4 linked regions of the Ovis aries genome follow. The protein of the gene in region 2 interacts with the protein of the main gene of each other region in a biochemical or structural test. Links are inferred from orthologs where the notes say so. Each region holds a gene or a part of one and is shown on either strand. Other genes may lie near its edges.

The links.
Region 1: the proteins of HSP90AA1 (region 2) and FKBP4 form a complex in vitro, tested with the Homo sapiens proteins (4 studies listed by BioGRID and IntAct). The link is inferred for Ovis aries from reciprocal best matches to the Homo sapiens genes HSP90AA1 and FKBP4.
Region 3: the proteins of HSP90AA1 (region 2) and PPP5C form a complex in vitro, tested with the Homo sapiens proteins (4 studies listed by BioGRID, with this or other methods). The link is inferred for Ovis aries from reciprocal best matches to the Homo sapiens genes HSP90AA1 and PPP5C.
Region 4: the proteins of HSP90AA1 (region 2) and ST13 form a complex in vitro, tested with the Homo sapiens proteins (2 studies listed by BioGRID). The link is inferred for Ovis aries from reciprocal best matches to the Homo sapiens genes HSP90AA1 and ST13.

The regions. Positions count from the first base shown.
Region 1 is NC_056056.1:212,788,250-212,793,781, forward strand, and holds the start of FKBP4 (peptidyl-prolyl cis-trans isomerase FKBP4), read right to left. Parts: upstream 3,407-5,532; 5' UTR 3,330-3,406; coding exon 3,225-3,329; intron 1,395-3,224; coding exon 1,250-1,394; intron 812-1,249; coding exon 669-811; intron 1-668. UniProt on the Homo sapiens protein: Immunophilin protein with PPIase and co-chaperone activities. Component of steroid receptors heterocomplexes through interaction with heat-shock protein 90 (HSP90).
Region 2 is NC_056071.1:64,570,238-64,574,307, forward strand, and holds the end of HSP90AA1 (heat shock protein HSP 90-alpha), read right to left. Parts: coding exon 4,051-4,070; intron 3,877-4,050; coding exon 3,686-3,876; intron 3,578-3,685; coding exon 3,430-3,577; intron 3,269-3,429; coding exon 3,000-3,268; intron 2,718-2,999; coding exon 2,253-2,717; 3' UTR 2,102-2,252; coding exon of another isoform or gene 1,992-2,101; 3' UTR 1,302-1,991; downstream 1-1,301. UniProt on the Homo sapiens protein: Molecular chaperone that promotes the maturation, structural maintenance and proper regulation of specific target proteins involved for instance in cell cycle control and signal transduction.
Region 3 is NC_056067.1:53,385,086-53,389,888, reverse strand, and holds part of PPP5C (serine/threonine-protein phosphatase 5), read right to left. Parts: intron 4,503-4,803; exon of another isoform or gene 2,165-4,502; coding exon 2,017-2,164; exon of another isoform or gene 1,363-2,016; coding exon 1,241-1,362; exon of another isoform or gene 1-1,240. UniProt on the Homo sapiens protein: Serine/threonine-protein phosphatase that dephosphorylates a myriad of proteins involved in different signaling pathways including the kinases CSNK1E, ASK1/MAP3K5, PRKDC and RAF1, the nuclear receptors NR3C1, PPARG, ESR1 and ESR2, SMAD proteins and TAU/MAPT.
Region 4 is NC_056056.1:217,908,856-217,913,658, forward strand, and holds part of ST13 (hsc70-interacting protein), read right to left. Parts: intron 4,308-4,803; coding exon 4,259-4,307; intron 2,123-4,258; coding exon 1,998-2,122; intron 1,469-1,997; coding exon 1,340-1,468; 3' UTR 1-1,339. UniProt on the Homo sapiens protein: One HIP oligomer binds the ATPase domains of at least two HSC70 molecules dependent on activation of the HSC70 ATPase by HSP40. Stabilizes the ADP state of HSC70 that has a high affinity for substrate protein.

The sequences.
Region 1 (5,532 bases), on a different chromosome or scaffold from region 2:
ACCAAGTGGCTAAGTTCTCAGGAGCGGCCCTGGTCTTGACCTTGGTATCAGTCTCCTCAATGACTGCTCTATAGAACAGGCACATGTTCCAAAAGGTCCTAATTCAGCTGCCAGACAAGCTCCATCCGACAGGCATTAGAAATAACCCAACACCTCTCACCAGTCTTCCCAACATTCTCCGAGCCTCCAGTGCGTAGGGCTCAACCATTTTTGAGTCTTAACACAGTGAAGTTTCACCTTCTCAGCAAAGGCTTGCCCCTTACCTCGACCCACGCGAGAAGCATCTCTGCCCGCATCTTATTTCTAGGGCACCAATGTTCTGCACTGTCAGTCATGACTGCATGTAGCCTGTGACCTCCCAATTCCTTCGTTTTGGTCCACCTCCCTCTGAGTATCCCTCTTGAGGTGAACAGGCCTCAAAGCCCTCACCCCGCTGCTTCAAGTCTGAAAGAGGGGCTCGCAGCCACCTCTCCCCAACTAAAACCTGCCCACTGACAGTTCTCTGGTAGAAGCAGTAGGAGAGGCGCACTCCATGTCTTCCCTCCCCAGGGCAGGCCCTCAGCCTTGGCTACATTGTCTCCAGGCAGCAGGAAGGGCTGGAGGGCAGCCAGACCCTGGGCTGAGATAAGGCTGGCTCTCTGCCTGGCCCTCTGTGGCCGGACACTCACCTCAAACACAAGCGTGGCGTTGGGAGGGATCTTCGGGGGGCTGCCCGCCAAGCCGTAGGCGTACTCCGGCTTGCAGGTGATGTGGCACACTTCACCCACCCTCATGGTCGCCACGGCGATATCCCAAGCCTTGATGACCTCCCCTGTAGGTACAGAGAAGAAACAGGTCCTCTTTGGCAGGGATCTCCCTCTGGGTTCAAACAGTGGCCTGAGAGACTTACTGTCCCATGCCCAAAGGGAAGCTGGGTACTATTTAGAAATAGGACCAAGAAGGTAGAAAATCTGGTTGCGATAAATGGTATCAGGTCTCAGACCTCTCAAAAAAAAGAAGAAAAAAGAAAAATCATTCAACTCTGAAGCAAAGAGGTTCAAGAAAACAAGGCAGTCCACCCTGGAAAAGGAAGCAAGGTTTTCAGAGGTGATCAAGGCAATGACAGATTAAAAAATCAATAGAGTTTCAGGACAGTGGAAATAAAAAAAGAACTGTAATAAACTGTTCCGTGTTTAAGCTTCTGAGAATACGGTTTCTGTTTGTGACAGCACACACACCCTGGTCCTGAGAGCCTGCTAACCATGCCCACCTTTCCCCAGGTCGAAGGAGAACCTGTCCTTGCGGTCCAGGCTGGAGTCGAACTTGGTGCCATCGAGCAGCCAGCCTGTGTAGTGGACAAAGACACGGTCCCCGATCATGGGTGTCTCCGTGCCCGTGCCCTCTCGCTTGATGACCTGGAAGGAAGGGAAGGAGAGAAGGTGAGTCCCTGGGGATGGACACAGAGAGGAACCATGAATGTTCGCATGCCTCTGGCCAGAATGTAAATGGTCTCCTCTGCCTCCTTGTAAGTAACTCAACAAACCCATCATCAAATGACTGCTATGGGGTTTGGCTAGAATTAAACTGACCTCCCTTTCTTGGACCATGACATAACTTGGTTTGAAACACTGGAGACAAAACACCTGAGATCATTTTTGCTGTTACGATCTTACAGAAGTCACTTTAACTCTCTAAACTGACCATATTTGTAAAGTAGTGATGATAAACCCTATCAGAGTGGTTACAGGACTAAACCAGTAAAACACTGAATAATTATCAGCAGCAAAGGGGAAAGTATTTACGCTACACTTCCTCATGCTTCCTAAACGCCAGTCATCCAATCAGGTCTGGTTTAGAGAGAGAAGAGGGAAACCAGAAAGTCCAGGAGAGCTAAGAGCAACCACCAGCTTACAAGTGAGCCAAGGGTCCTTGAGCAGGCCCTAGGCTCTGACCTGGGACTTGAGGGTTCCTGACTGGTAGGCTACTGCAGTCCTTGAAGTCAGGGCTAGAATATGTCCCAGTGTTTAGAAGAACCTGCTTCTCTTTGGTGTTTATAAAAAGGTGGTCTACCTGGTTAAGTGTGCAAGTTACCCTCTAAGGGAAAGCTCCCACGATGCAACGGACATGGACTTGAGTAAACAGAAAAGTGAAAGGGAAGGCGTGGAGAATGAAAAGGGTAAATAGGTCTCCCTGGAAGCCCGCGTGCCCACTAGGAGAGCAGCCAGGTGCGTTTCTGAAACGGCTAAGCAGCTCCCCGGGGTCTCCAACCTGCCCTGGCCACACGCACACGTGGGCTGAGCTGCGGGAAGCCAAGAGGAGCAGAAAGTCTGGGTGAGGATACCAGCGAAGCCAGGCTAGGATTTCGCCATCCTGGACAGCGCAGAACCTGCTCCGAACCGCGGCCGGACCTGGGTCAAGACGCCCTGCTGCCTGGCTCCCAGACCCCTCCCTGGCTCCTCCGGCCGTAACACTGTTTAGGGCCCCCAACCAAAGCACCTCCTCCCAGTCCCGCACTCCGCGCTCAGTAAGGCCCCGGGCCGGGGGTGGAGTGGGGTGGGGTGCGATGTGGGGGCCGAGGCGGGGTGAACTACAGGTCCCGGCATGCACCGGGGTGGGGGGGGAGGGGGACAGCATGGCCGAGCGGGTGACCTAGCCGGGTCCCAGCCTTCAGGAAAGGGGTGACCAGAGGGCGGAGGACGCCAGGACCGCGCGCCAAGTCGCACAAAGACCCGCGCGGGCCAGGCAATAACTCCCGGGACCCCGTTCGCGTCCTGGCTAATGTTTAACTGCCGGGGTCGGCGAGCTCCGCACCCCGGAGGCGCAGGAGGCCGGGGTGGCGGGGGGAACTCCCTGGCGCCAGCGGCGGCCGGGAAGGAGCCGGCCGCGGGTCGCAGATCGCAGTGGGGCGGTGCACGCCGCCGGGGCCCCCGCGCGAGCGCGTCCGCCCCCCGCCGCGCCCCTCCCGGCGCATGCCGCAGCCAGAGCAGGCGCTGCGCTCCGGGACCCTTCCCAGGCCTGGGGAGCCTCAGCCCAGATGTTCCCCTTCCGAGCGTGTAGCAGCCCTCCCGCCCTGAACCGGCGGCCTGGCTAGGAAGGCGATGCGCAGGGCCACGGCTGCACGGCCTGCTTAACGGCCGGCCGGGAGGCTGCAGAGGCGGCTGCCCGAGCCCCGGGCAGATGCTGGGGCGCTCCCGGTGCCCGACTACCGCCGCCTCCGCCTCCCCGGGGCGCCCCCCGCCTCTTACCTTAAGCACCCCTTCATCCTGCTTGGGGCTGATGTCCACGCCTTCGAGGGGCAGCGGCGCCGACTGCGCTCCGCTCTCGGCCGTCTTCGTCTCCTCGGCGGTCATCACGCCGTTTCTCGGGCAGCGGGCGGCGGGGTGTGCGCGGCGGTGCGGGCGGCGGGTCGGGGCTCGCGCACCTCTCTGCGCGGGCGCGGGCGGAGGAGGAGGTGGGGTCGTGGGCGGCCGGGTGAGCGATTGGTCCCACCGCCTCGGAGGGAGGGGCTGGGAGGAGCCGGGCGGCCGCGAGGGACGTGGGGGGAGAACTTTCTAGAGGCGCCGGCGGCCGAGCGGGTTCAGGCTCTGGCGCTCAGGGCGCTTCTGCGGAAGGTGGTTTCTGGTTCGTTCCTCCCGCCAGCCGCCTAGCCCCGCCCCGGCCCCGAGACCCTCGGACTCGGGAGCCAGCCCCCGCCCCCGCCGCTCGTTCTCTCGGCCTCTCCCTCCCGCCGCCCCCCCCCCCCCCGGTCTAGCCGGATTCTTCCAGATCCTTCTCGATACCCCCGCAGCATCCGACGCCGCGCCGCCGGACGTGGGCGCCGCGCGTGCGTCTCCCCTGCCCGAGCCGCGGGCTGCCTGCCTCCCCGCCTGGCCGGGCACGCGTCCTGAACGCAGAGCGAGGGGAGCGGTACCTGGGCATGTAGGGCCGGGGAGGCGTCTGGGTTTCCCCGGAGAGGGGCCAGCGTGCGCCCAGGGCCCGGCGAAACGCTGCGAACTGCCCGTTTGCAAGAAATGGCCCGCGTATTAAAGGGGCCTTTCCCGACAATAATATAACTGAACACATAGAATGGGTTCAACTCGCTAGGAGAGCCACTGCGTCTTACTGAAGGCCCATGAAAAGGAATATTTTCTTAATACTGGGTTCCTGGGTGTTCATGGACTTCCCTTGGCGACTAGGAAGCGCCATAGTTACCGAAACAATAGTCTTTTGACCAAAAGATCTGTGTATGGAGGGTCCTGCTCTTCCTTAGAGCTTAAGCCCAGTTTAGTGTCTGGTGCGTGTTATGAAATAATTATTGGTTGCAGGAATTTGTGTGCCAATAATAATAAGGTTTTTTGTTTGTTTTGGAGCCCTTGCTCAGTGCTTGGCACTGTACTATGAAGACTGTCCTATATAGGTAGAAAACTAAAAGGGCTGTTTTCGGATGAAATTTCAATATTAAAACATAACCAGGGAATTCATTGTAATCTTTTCTGTTGGGATTGGCTGGGAAGGGATGCAGGACAAATAAAATCGTTTCTTCCAGCAATTTACAGCAAGTGTATTTAGCCTCGACTAAGACGTTTTTCATTCAGTGACGCCTTCAGCGGACTTGGGGGGATTGACTCACTAGAGATTAAATCTGCTTCCTTTCTACCAGTGTCCTCAGGAGGGTGAGAAGTAACGGTGGCCCTCCAAAGTTGCAGGAGACGGGCGCAGGGTAGGGTGCTGGCTTGCCGCCTTGGCAGTTATCTTGCTGTTGGTTCCTGCGCCTGTGTGCGGTCACTCTTGAGTGTACTGGTTTCTTTTGAAGCTGGGGCCACTGGATATTATCTGGCTGAACAAGTTGGTATAGAAAAGCTCCGGTCGAGTAATGCTTTTCTAAAAGCATCTATTTCTTTACTGGCAGCAAACAGTTGTAGGTATCTTCTAGTCTGTCAGCACGTTTTACTTGAGCACCCAAGATATGACCGCTTTTGCACGCATACTGACTGTAGAAAGAGCACGTGCTCTTTCTAGAGAGTAAGCAACGAGTGGGGTCCCCAACATACTAACCGATTTGAGGCAGATTAACAGGGACAAGAACACCTGTCAACGAGGGTAGTTGTGATGGTTACAAAGCAGGAATGTATGCTGGGTATCTAGCCCAGTGGCCACCTTCGCACAGGTGAGTAAATCATGCTCATGATTCTGATGGGATGAGTGCTCTGCTGAGACCAGGATAGGATACAGAGGTCTGTAAGAGAGGGGAAAACCTCGTGGAAGGGGAAGGGCCAAAGGGAAAGGTTTCCAGGGAGGAAGTGCTGTGCTCTTTCAATCAATGAATGGTTGAGGGGTCTGGGAGATGGAAGAGGTGAGGAGGGACAGTAGTCACTGGGTTCTAGGATTCCCCCCATTTTTTTTCTGTTTGTAGAATTATTTTCCATTTTATTTACATTATATTCTTCGGATTGTAAAACCTACACATACTCAATGTCGAAAGTGCACAGATAGGTTTGTTTCTTTTTCAATCTGTTTTCCTTTCATTCTTTTCTTGCTAGGGATCGAACCCATGCCCTTGGCAGTGAACTGGCA
Region 2 (4,070 bases):
GGAACCCAGCAGGCTAGAGTCCATGGAGGTCACCGTCAGTCACAAGTTAGCAACTGAGCACATTCCCATCTTGCACCATACCCACCTCTGCTTCCCAGCGCTCTGTACACTCATCAGCGTGGGACTAGTTACATTAGCGTGAAGACTGGACTTGGCAGCAGTAGGTTGGGGACCCCTTGACAATTGAAGGTCAGCACCAGCCTGGTGTTTGTGTCCTTTACCTCATCTTCTCACCCCCAGGGGTGGGCACCTGTGGTCTCCGTGGTCCATCTCCAGCACAGGGCTTGCTGGGGGGCAGTTCCAATTACACGCCTGCCATTAACACGCCTTTCCATAATTCAGGGGGGAAATGCTCTGTGGGCATTTTTTTTCCACTGGAGACACTTTATAGAGGACTAATACTTTTAATTTGAATGGAATTCTTAGTCTCCTTACTAGAGGTGGGAAATAAGAGAACTTGTTTTTTGTCCTTCAATTATTAATTCCTGAACAGCAGGACCACTGGCACCAGACTAGCTGAGCCACAAGGGAAGCCCAAGAATACTGGAGTGGGTAGCCTGTCCCTTCTCCAGCAGATCTTCCTGACCCAGGAATTGAATCAGGATCTCCCATGTTGCAGATTCTTTACTATCAGGGAAGCCCTCCGGGGAGTTAAAAACTGCTGCTGCATTAGATTGGTAAGGATCAAAGAAGGTTATTGCTTACCCACCCAGGCACTTACTACCCACCAGCACTTACTATCCATGACAGACCTTCCAGTCTGTGGACTCTCCAGGCCTCTCTGACTCTAGGTCCAAATCCTGGGTAGACCTCCCACCAAGTACTCTAATGCTCACCCCTGCCCTCTCCAACTGCTGTGTGCTTATGTCTGTCAGCAGCCTCCTGGACACACCTTTCCTGAGGCTCAATAAAGAACCAGAGAACAAGCAGCAGAGACGGTTTCAGGTGGGAAGGTGTTCAGCAGCTGTGGTTCATAAGGGCAAGGCAGTAAAAGGGCGGTTATTACACATCCCGTTTCACCAATACCATCAGAGTGCAGCTCAGACATTGAAATTCTAAAGCACAATGATGTTATTATAAAGTCTAACACATGGACACAAAAGCAGCAAGTTCCATTCTCCTGTCTTTTAAGTATAGAGGCTCACCCCCAAACATGTGGCCTGAGCACCCTAAGGTCACAGCAGTAGGCTCTAGGGAGGCCACACCAACCACCTGCTCCCTTGACTCTCCTCTAGGGAAGAGGCGCACCCCTCATGTTTTACATTCTGGGACCACCCCCACAAGTAAGACATCACACATCATTTCTTTTAATTCATCTGTATTTGTTACAACTTTTTGAAGCAGAATGTGACTTGAGCACTACATTTCCATTCACAAAACTGGCTCCAAGTTACCTTTCCAGAGGCTTTACAACATGCCTGGGCAGGCTTATAATTTTGCTACTCTAAACAATATTTTTCTTTGGAAAACAAGCCCTATGTATGGACAGTGACTCCAATCAAGTTGGTTCAGCTTAACATACTAACTTCTAGAGGCCTGGCACATGCAGTCATAACTACAGGGGATGGAAGTTTTAAAAAGTATATCCCAGAAGATGAAAACTTGCTGTAATAAGTGTTTCTTTTAAACACCAAGGTATATACTTCAGAACACTTCAGTGACAGAAAATTTTGGTCTACTAAAGAATCCGCTTGATAGCTAAACACTTCAGACCACAAAGTTAACAGAGGTTACACACACCTTACAACAAAGGTTAACTACTTCCATCTGTTAAAATAAGCCAACATGAAACTAGGAAAAAACGAGCTCTGCTTTAGTGCTAAAAGTATCACAGTATCACACTTAGTATAAAGAAATCTTATCCTCCCCTTATGCAGTTGTCATGCCATACAGATTTTAAATGTTAACAAAAATAAAGAAATACTCGAGAACATATTGGAGGGAACGGAGACAGCGCGTTGAACACACCGCCAGGCGAGCCTCGGCAGCGCTCAGTCTACTTCCTCCATGCGGGACGTGTCGTCGTCTCCTTCCAGGGGCGGCATTTCCTCAGTGACTGCAGCGCTGCTGTCGTCAGCAGTGGGGTCATCCTCGTCAATACCTTGAAGGAAATAAAAAACACGGATTAAGTTTCTTCAAGCCGCATAATTAGTCCAACACTACAGGTTCCTCATACCCGCTTCTCAAGGCTGAGCGAATTAGAAGCGACATGACGAAAGGGGCTTATTTACCCCCTTTTAACTCATGTGACTTCAGTGTTTTGCAAATGGAAAAACAAGAGTGCCCAACTTTGTTGAAATTGCTGAAAGTTCACCCTTTTCAACAGTCATCTGTTTAGGTTTTCCCCCAATGGTATTACACATGGTACTTGCACAAGGCTTACCAAGACCAAGTTTGATCATCCTGTAGATCCTGTTGGCGTGTGTCTGGGGATCCTCCAGACTGAAGCCAGAAGACAGGAGCGCTGTTTCGTACAGCAGGATGACCAGATCCTTCACAGACTTGTCATTCTTGTCAGCCTCTGCCTTTTGCCTCAAGGTCTCGATGATGGAATGGTCAGGGTTGATCTCCAGGTGCTTCTTGGCTGCCATGTAACCCATCGTCGAGTTGTCTCTCAGGGCTTGCGCCTTCATGATCCGCTCCATGTTTGCTGTCCAGCCGTATGTGCTTGTGACAATGCAGCACGGGGAGGTCACCAGCCGGTTGGACACGACCACCTTTCATAAAAAAAAGGTATACAGCGATAACTGGGCACAGAGGTGTTCCATTCTCAGTGCTTGTCACCAGGTTTATTTGAATATTTAAGGAACTTGAGTATTAATGAATCAAATACTATTTGCAAATACTATTGCAAATCCGAAGCTTTAAGTTCCTTTTAAGTTCTAATGTCTTTAAAGATGTTAAGGACTATGTATATGTGACTTGTTCAAAAGACACCTAACACCCCTAAGAAGGGTTAGTAACCAGAAAATATAAGAAAAAAGATGGTATTCACACACCTTTTCAACTTTCTTCTCCAAAATGTCCTTCATGATTTTGCAGAGGTTTTCAAACTTTGTCTTTTTCTCTTCTTGTTTCTTTTTCTCTTCCTCATCTTCTGGAAGTTCCAGGCCCTCTTTGGTGACTGACACTAAGGTCTTCCCCTCAAACTCCTTCAGCTGTTGCACACAGTACTCATCAATAGGCTCAATCATGTAGATCACTTCCAAACCATGCTTCCGGAGACGCTCCACAAAGGCCGAGTTGGCTACCTGGTCCTTTGTCTCACCTAAGAAACAGAAGTTTTATATCTTTTAACAGCAGTCTCATTTATTTCGGTTAGATTAACTCCTACTAAATTATGTGTACCACCACACGGGTAGAAAACGTGCAACTGTTCCTATGGGATCACAAAAAGATCGACTGTCACAGTTATTGCCTGTAAGGTACCTGTGATGTAATAGATGTGTTTCTGGTTTTCCTTCATTCTTGTGCAATAGTCCTTGAGAGAAACCATCTCATCACCAGAAGCAGACGTATAGTACCTCAACAGCTCTGAAAGCTTCTTCCGATTTTGGGAATCTTCATGTATTCCAAGCTGAAAAGACAATGTTAGCTTTAGAAAGACTTTCTCTGTGTTCAATTATTTCAAAAGGAAAATCAGTTTGATTACTACTCTTAATAGTCAAATGTGTTTCTAACCAACCTTAATATTTTTAGAGAACTGCTCATAAAACTTCTTGTAGTTCTCCTTATCTTCTGCCAGTTCAGTGAAGAGTTCCAAGCACTTTTTGACCAAATTCTTCCTGATAACTTTCAAAATTTTGCTCTGTTGCAACATCTCACGGGAAATGTTCAGAGGAAGATCCTCAGAATCCACCACACCTCTAATGAAATCTGAAACAGACCAAATGCAGCCAGTCACTCCAAAGACAAAAACTGACAAATCCGTAAACCCAAAAAACCAAAGATGAATGATTTTCCCCATGTTTAGTTTAAAAACCAGGAGCTGACAGGATTAATCTCTTAGACTAGTAACAGTGACAGTTTCTTCTATCAGACTATACTTACTCAGGTATTCAGGGATTAGC
Region 3 (4,803 bases), on a different chromosome or scaffold from region 2:
GCATATACATAGAAAGATAAAGCGGAAGTGTCAACACCTTAATAACTGGCGACTAAGTGAAGGGGCTATGGATGGTAACTGTGCTGGTCTTTGGACTTTTCTGTAGGTTTAACAATTTGCTAAGTGAAAAGTTGGGAAAACAGTGCTAACAAAGAAAAGCAGGAGGTATCCACTTCCGGTCAGAATGTAGAAAGTTACAAAAGACTGTCACTCTTGCCTTAATGAGGGAAACAAGCCAGGAAACAAGAAGAAAAAAGAAAAAACAAAGAACACCCTGAAACATCTGAGAGTGAGGACTCAAAGAAACCTAAATGAGCCAAACTACAAGACAGTGAGGTGACCAGCTCTCCCCTGGGAGAGCGGCGGCGGCTGGTGGGCCGGCGGCGCAGCGAGGGCCAGGCTGAGAGGGGAGCGGGAGAGAGAGCCTGGGGGCCCCGCGGCAGAGGCCTCTGCCCAAGCCTGCATCTTCTCTCCCGGGGCCGCACAGAGGGCGCGAGGCGACATGGCGGACAGGAGCCACCTGAGGCACAAAAGTGGGGGCGAGACTGGGAGCAGAGAGCCCCTCAGACAGCCCAGCAGCCGGCGGCAGGGCTGAACATCAGAGCGCTTTCCTACAGCTCCGGGAGCGGGAGACCTGAGAGCCTGCAGGCATCCCTGGGATTCTGCCAGGGCGGAGATGCTGAGCCCCGCCCTCGGGGAGTCCCGGCTCCCCTCTGGACGTATCTGAAGCCAGCTCCAACTCGAGCTGCCCCTGACCTGCAGCGGGGACGGACACAGCCCCTCACTGTGGCAGCCCAACAGAAGCAGGGTCTGCCCGTGTCTGCAGGAGAGGAATCTGTCTCCATCGCTACTGTACTTCTACACAAAGTGTCTGGCCCACGAGAAAAAAGCGCCAAGACGGGAAGAGCAGACAAACGGAAGCAGACCCAGAGATGACCCAGATGGTGGGAGATCTAGACAGAGACTTTAAAATAACTGTGTGGAAAACGTGTTGAAGGATCTCACAGAAAAGGTAAATGACATGCATGAACATATGGGGCCGAGAGACGAAAGCTATTAAAAAAGTAACTGATGGAAATGCTGGAGATGAAGAATTCATCTGCAGGGTGCCCAGCACACTGTGGGCTCGGCAAGCGCCAGCTGGCGGGACCGCCCTGCTCCTGGGCCCCCGCGGTGGCAGGGCTCAGGCCAGGCCAGCGCCCTGATGCTACCCCGGGCCCCGGGCTCTGGCGGGCACTACCTGGTAGGCACACTTCCGGTGCAGCTTCTTCTGGTCCTTGTACCACTGCATGAGCTCCTGCATGAAGGTGACTGTCACCCTGCCGTCCTCCAGCTTGGGCCCACTGTACTCATCCTCGATGGCTGGCGTGTGAAGGGGGGAGGAGAGTCAGGGGCCGCGGCCACTGCCAGGATGGGAAGTGAGGCCTGGCCCCCAGGCACGGGGCAGGCTCGGCGCTAGACACACAGGTTGAGAGGGGACGGGGTGAAGACTCCGCTCGGCCAGGGCCTCTCATGGCCGGCCCCTTCTGCCCAGGCGGGCTCACAGGCCCTCTCCCTGACCTCCCGCCTACGGGGCGCCCCCTCTCTGGCAGCCTCTCCCCCGGACTCGATCTGCTAGCATTTAACATGTGAACTGACTATCAGTCCTCTCTCCGCAATAGGACACCCGCTCCAGGGGGCAGGGGCTGTGCGGGTCACAGCTGTATCCCCAGTGCCCACAATGGCGGCACCCAGTAGGGACCCAATAGTCATCCGTGGAATGTTTGACAGACGCCTCTGAGCGCCCAGAGGACCTGGGGACAAATCAGGCCCATGACGGGGGGTGCAACTGCGGGATGGATGAAGCAAGGAAGCTTGCCCGCACCCGAGACCTCTAGCCCCTAGGCTGGACGGCGGGGTCTCCAGGAGCACAGACAGCGTGGGGGCACAGGGACCAGAGGCGCCCAGCACGCAGGGCCCGGGCGAGGACGGGGAAGGCTCTGGGCCGGGCGCAGCAGGGCACCTGGGCCGACTCACTCATGCTCTCAATGTCGAGCGAGTCCACGACGGAGCGCTTGTGCTCGTCGCCCGCGATGGCCCGCTCGAACGCCTTTTGCTTCACGATCTTGTTGCACTCCTGGTACTTCATCTTGGCATCCTTGTCATGGGGCTTCACCTTCACCACCTGGTATGCAAGGTGGGCAAGAGAGGACAGAAGGAAGAGAAGAGGCATCAGCACCCAGGCGAGGCGCAGGGCAGAGGGGTCACTGGGAGGCGGGGGCACCATGACTGCCCTTGGCTGGCCTGGCCCGGCCCGGGGCTCCGCGGACACTGAGCAGAGCACCCAGCCGCGTGGACGATGGGTGCAAGCCTGGACTCGCTCCCCGTCTAGGTCTTGGTTTCTGTGTCCCCAAACTGGGCCCAACAGCTGCCCACACAGGGCTGCCGGGAGGGAAAACGTATTCACCCATTCAGATGCTCCTTAATACACTGCAGCTCTGACCGTCATCAAAATAAAACTGGCCCTGCTCCAGCTTCATCGCTGGAACCAGAGGGGCTGAGCGGTCCCCGTGGGCTGGATCCGAAGTCATGATTTACAGCCCGACTCAACCAAAGAGGCAATGACTGGCTGGATGACACAGAGTTGCAGTTGTCTCATCTACGAGTGGGGGAGGTGACAGGCTGTTGGGGAGGATCAAGAACCAGCACGGGCCTGGCGTGCAGCCCGAGCTCTGCGGGCAGCCGCCGGCACCTGGTGGTCAGGCGCCCGGGGTCAACCTCGGGCCCTGGGGAGACCCAGGACCAGTGTGCTCCCTTGGCTCCCTCCTGAGGAAGGTGGAGGCGACAGAGCACGAGCCCCAGGCTGCCAGGAGGGCGGAGCGAGCAAACACTCGGAAGGGCGTGCAGCAGCGGCAGGCCGCCCACGGCGCCTTTCACGGGCGGCCGCGCCCATGGCGCGGGATCGCACGCGGGGAGCACTGGGCGCTTGGCCGCGAGGTTCCCCCAGGCCCAGGAAGAGGAGCCCGTCCCCTGCCCTCCCCCACCTTCCGTCTCGCTTCCTACAGACCCTGATCCCCCAAGTCCAGAGGGAGTGGGGGCTGCATTCAGACCCCAGCTCTGCCACTTACGTGCTGGGTGACCTTGGGCAAATGAATTCACCCCTCTGAGCCTCAGTTACCTGTAACTCCTCCTGTAATTATCAGTGGACCCTGCCTGACCTGCCCCCCATGCTGGCCTCCCCAGGAGTGGGCTCCCACAGCCCTGTGCCAGGGCACAGAAAACGGGGGTGCCAGGCAGCGAATGCACCCTGGTGGAAAGCCTGGCTGAGTGCGTCAGAAGCTGGGGCAAAGGTGTTTGCTGATGAGCCCTGAAGGTCAGTGTGGCTCAGCCCCGAGAATGGGCGTGCAGACCAGGTTGAGTGGCAGGAAGCGGGTCGGGGCAGGCTTGGGCCCAGGCGCCCTGCCAGGTGCCTCCACCTGCAGCAGGGTGTGGTGCAAGGCTTGGGAGAGAGGCCGCCCCAGACAGTCCCTGGAGTCCTTCCCAACAAGCAGAGGTTAGGAGTCCACGGCCCAGGATGAAGTCCAAACCGCCACTCCGCCTGGCCCACGAGGGCCTGCCCAGCCCTTTGCGTTCCCTGCTTGCCCAGCGCGAACCAGCCAGGCCAAAGCCAGAAGTCCCCAAACGTGCCGGCCCCCTCTCAGCTGCAGGCTGGTACACCCCTGGCCCAGAACACCTCATGTCCACCCTCAGTGACTCTCCAGCCCTGCCTCCTCCTCCTCCAGGTCTCCGCCCCCCGCCCCTGCCCTCTCCCATCTCCCAGGCTGGGTCAGGCACCTGCTCTGGCCTCCCACAGGGCCCTGGGCTACCCCCCACCGCCCCGCCCCAGCCCTGAGCACCGCAGGAGACGGGTCTACCTCCCCAGCGGTAGGTGGCCATGGCCACGAGGGCAGGGCTGAGGCTGTGTCCCAGGTGAAAGGAGTGCCCGAGTGGGCGGATGCCCCACTAACCATTTCCTCTGAGCCAGCACCCTCTTTTCAGAGAGCTCACGGGTGGGGGTGTGGGCCGGAAGCAAACACTGATGACCCCGGGAACAAAGGAACGGAGCAGTAACAGCGCACAGCTTTCTCTGTGCCCGAGGCTGTAAGCGACAACCTCGCTCACTTTCTCCTCAGAGCAGCTCTCTGTGATGTCATCACAGCTGCACCTCACGGATGGACAGGGAAACTGAGGCTGGGAGAGGTGAACTCACTGACCCAGGAAGCCAGGATTCCATTCTCTCCCTGCTGAAGATCCTGCTCCCACTGCACACGCTGGGACGGGACCCCTCCCCACCTACTGCCACGGTCCCCACAGCACCTGACACGCCTTCCAGAGACACGCTGCAGGCCTGGGTCTTAAGAGCAGGCTCTGGGGCCAGGCCTCCAGGCCTTGCAGTGGGGGGAGGCCCCGAGGCTTGTTGGCTCAGAACTGAATGCTGGACTTCTCTTTAAGAAGAGGGATCTCACAGCAAGTGGGGTCTGGGTTGTGTCCGGTCAGCATCCTGTGACAGTGACGCCAGGCATGTCACTGGGGGAAAGTGGGGCGGTGGGGTCTTTGCCTTACTCCTTATCCCTGCATGTGAAACCACAACGCTCTCAGAATAAACAGCTGTTTTTACAAAGTGGTTTCAGCTGCGAGTATTCCCGGGCAGTAAGTCCAGGGACTCAGACCGATGAAATGGTAACATGGGCTTGTGACCCCCACATAATGCCACGGGGCCAGTGTGTATCTGGGAAACGGGAACTCTCTGGAGTTCAAGAAGGTGACGCAGAGCACACGCTCCAT
Region 4 (4,803 bases), on a different chromosome or scaffold from region 2:
TTTTCTTTATCCTTGGAAGAGAGGAAAGGGGAGTAAAGAGAGTTGCAGTATTTAAGAACTGAATAGAACAATGAATCTTTCACAATGCTGACAACTCCACAATGAAGAATCATCGTGAATCTCAATAGTGATTAGGAAGTCAAGTTTCCCTTTCTGCGTATCAATTAATTCAAAACTCTCCAAAGATTAATACTACAGGATAAACTCAAACTGCAATAGGTATTTCCTAAGTAGGAGACCAAACATCAAAGGGAATCCCTTCTTCCAAGGTCCTTTGATATGTTACGATTTCACCAAAGAGAAAATCTAACACTTAAATATGAAATCTCTTCGCCAAGTAAGAAACTGAAGCTATTATCGGTATTACCCTACATAGTCACTGTTTGTATTAAACATTAAACCCAGCATTAAATATGCCTGCACAATTATGCTATGAATAATGATAGCAATGATGTTAGTCAAAGAGGACCATCTTTAGCCCAAGAAGAGTAGGAAGAAAAAACTGAAAACGAGCAGAAAAAGCAGACAAATTGGGCATTTTCTGATGTGTAAAGGACATTTTTAAACACAGAAATACAGAAAGGAAAACATTCCCCTATTTCCCCTATGTGGAAATACGAAACATTTATTTCAGGTATCAGACAAGAACAGAGCTAAGTAATGCAATTTTACTGCAGCATTATAAAAACCATCCCTCCACCACAGCGTAAGATTTAACTGCATGTGCGCAAGGGGACATGTGATATAAAATGTAGTACGATGACTGCTGCCCTGCCAAGTACTTCCAGTCCCTCCCCAGGCCCTACTGCAATACTGGTGGTCCCAAGAGTTCCAGAAGCAAATCATTTAAGATAGTAACAACAAAGCAATTAAAAAGACAAATCAAAATGCCTCAGTAACCATATGTCCAATTCAAACTTTATCTATTTAAATGTTGTATTTGTCTCCCACTAACAAATCTTTATTTCACTCAAACTTGGAACAATAAATCTTCCACACTGATGTATCTTACTTGCCTAATTAATTCAAAGGAAAAAATCAAAATCATTAGTAAAGAAAAATGTAGGGGTTAATACACCTTTTTAAATATTTTTAAGGTTTAAAAATTGCTTAAAGTTTTAAATTTCTAGTAAGAAAACATTATCTGAATGAATACCCTAATGGCAAACCGCTGTAAAATGTTTTCAGCTGCATCTGGGGCAAAGGGGTAGGGATTATCTTCAAAGCACCCCAGCTTTCTTCATGAGAAGGTCAGAGGTACACTGGTTTGTATTATTGCAACATCCATTAGGTGATCTAAGTTGCTTTTCCTCCAGCAGGGCTTTATGTCAGAAGAGCATTATGCTTGACCTCCAAATTTGGCTGACAATTTACTGATGAGATTCATAACCTTTGGGTTGCTCTGATATTTTGACATATTTGCCGGGTTCTGGGCCACATCCTGGAAGGCCACCATAACTTCTGGATCCTGCAAAGAAAGGTATATGTATATATATTTTTAGTATTAAAAAAATATTCTATGGGTCATCAATTTTATTATCCTAAACCCTATCTCTTAGACCTATAGTTCTGATATACGGCAGAAACTGACACAACACTGACAGCAATCATCCTCCAACCTTCCTCATGGCTAAATCAACTCAGATTTGGACAAACCCCTGAAGCATAAATATCATTAATGCGCACTTCAAAGTCAAACTCGACTATGTCACCCAAGACAATTGAAAAAAGAGGTATACAATTTTGATATAAAGATAAGGACAACTGGATATAATTACCAACTATTGCAGAGTATTCCCTATAGACTGCTTTTTAAAAACTTGAACTACTCATTCTGAAAAACAGAAAATGAACGTCACGACTACATAATAAGCTACTGGGTAAATTCAGCTCAGTAAAATATGGCTATCAGAGTAACCTTAGTATGTTCCCACATGGAATTATGAAAAAAAGATGTTTAATGATATAAAGTTCAACTTTGTTCTTCCAAGTCTTACCTGCATGGCTGCAAGGACCTCGGGATCACTAAGAATTTCATTGAGGCCAGGCATTCCCGGCATTCCCCCTCCCATTCCAGGCATTCCTCCAGGAAAATTACCAGGCATTCCCCCAGGAAAGCCGCCTGCAAGAATAAATGAGAGATCTGTATAGACACCAACCATATTCCCAAGTAGTCTGGGAGCGTATTATTTCCTCTGATAAAAACATGTGCATGCACAAAGAACAAGGCTGCTGCTGAACACTAAACAGTCTGAACATTCAAACTGGAGGCTACAAGATGTAATTTTTATCATCAAATTTTCTTTTTAAAAATAAGGCTGTAAATACTTATTCCCTAGTAACAAAACTAGAGAGAAAGCTAATAGTCCTTTGGAATTATAAAATTGAAAAGTCTAATGTTGATATTGGAGAAGGAAATGGCAACCCACTCCAGTATTCGCACGGGAAATCTGATGGACAGAGGAGCCTGGTGGGCTATAGCCCATGAAGTCGCAAAGAGTCAGACACGACTGAGCGGCAGAATACACACCAATGTTGATATATGGCAGAAACTGATACAATATTGTAAAGCAATCATCCTCCAATTAAAAATAAATATTTTTTTAAAAAGAAGAAATACAATTAAAAAGTATAATAAGTCATCTTGTATCTTCTCAGTCTTTAATATTATTCATCTGTTTCAATTTAAAGTCGTGTTTTTCTTCTTAAAAACAATATTCTTCTAAGCAGTTATTCCTTCAAGAACTACCCTAAATACATGTTATAAAAAGTTGTGGATTTTTGGAAGTTCCCTGGTGATCTAGTGGTTAGGATTTGATGTTTTCATTGCCGTGGCCTGGGTTCAATCCCTGGTCAGGGAACTGAGATCCTTTAAGCCACACAATGTGGCCAAAATTAAAGAGGGAAAAAGAAAAAGCTTATGGATTTTTTAATCTTCACCCAAATTACATCAAAATTTCTGAAAGTGAAAAAAAAAGCTGTAACAAAAAACAATCTAATTCTAGTATATTTTTAGATTATAAACTCAAATTTTTCTACTCAATTTTTCATTACCATTAATCTTTACATTCACTGGAGATATTCTAAAGTCACAATTAACACACTATAATAATATAAAGACATCCTAAAGAGAAATACAGGTAACATTAACATATTCCATGGATCAAGTCATTACAAGTAAAGCTACTCTAAAGAAGAAATATACACAACAAAGTGATTTCCATCTGTCTCAACAATTCAAACATGCCCATAAATAACTAACAATCACAGATAAGACCTAATCAGATAAGGAGACCTGAAAACAACTTCTAGTTTCTTACGCTGCTGTGACTTTTTAAAACTAGTCTCCACAAAAATTACTGACCCAAAGCAACAACAGTGAGACAGCCTGCTTGTCAAATCTATGTCATAAAGCCCATCATACAAAAAATTATCTCAAGTGCTAGCCCACAGTAGTGGTCATTTTCTAAAACAAGCAACCTGATATGAGGTATTAACTTATAAACAAAAAGTAAGCCATGAGCTAAAATCTATTTTCTTGCTTTTGCTCCAAGTCATCCCCACCCACTTTTTTAGTTGCCGGCACATGACCTTTCACAACAGCAGCTACCTTTTCTAGCCTCTGATCACGTAAATTCTAAGTAGAGAGGTGGTGTGTACCTGCCTCTATAACTCTTCACAAGAAAGCTAGTTACTTTGAAGCTGCTGATTCCCCATTACAATGACAAACTCAAAAAAAAAAAAAACAAAAAAAAACCTCTTCATCTTTACATAAATGTCACACTGCCTCAATTCAGAAAGTATCCAAAAATATACTGAGTACCTTTTTAACAGCTCTTCTACCTATACTGCAGAGGCCTCTGCCGGTGGCTCAGACAGTAAAGAAGGTAAAGAACCTGCCTGCAATGCAGGAGAACCAGGTTTAATCCCTGGGTGGGGAAGATCCCCTTGAGAAGGAAATGGCTACCCACTCCAGTACTCTAGCCTGGAAAATTCTATGAACAGAAGGAGCCTGGCGGGCTTTAGTCCATGGAATCGCAAGGAGTTGGACACCACTGAGTGACTAACACTTTCACTGCCAGTATTCAATGCTTATAGGAAAATAATATACTGTATTTCCAATAACAAAATTTTACCAAGAATGAAACTTTCCCAGGGACTAATGGTACTAAATACAATATACACACCTGAGCCCGAAAATGAGAATAATCCCCAATTATCTACAATATTAGGAATTTTAATTTTTCTTTCAAAATACCTGGAAAAGAGCCATACTGAGATCCTGATTGTCTTCTGGCTTCTTCCTCCTTTAATACAAAAAGGAAATAAATTACATAGTAAGAAGTCTGCTGTTCATGCCTACCTTATCCATACAAACCATGAAAAAACCGTAAAATAAACTAGCTAGAGGAGGTACAAGAATGACAAGTTTCAAAAGGCAATACTGGGCTAAAGACAACATCCCATCCCTCAAAAAACCAACTTTCAATTGGATTCTCAATGAGGAAGTATTACTTTTGGTGGGCTTCCCAGGTGGAAGCTAGTGGTAAAGAACCCGCCTGCCAATGCAGTAGACATAAGAGCAGGTTCAAACTCTGAGTCGGGAAGATGCCCTGGAGGAGGGCATGGCAACCCACTCCAGTATTCTTGCCTGGAGAATCCCATGGACAGAGGAGCCTGGCAGGCTACAGTAGTCCACAGCGTCTCAGAGAGTTGGACATAACTGAAGCAACTCAGCATAACTTTTGCTAATGATTTTAAGTAGTATTTTGGACTTGGAACTAAAACTAAAAAATAACGAGT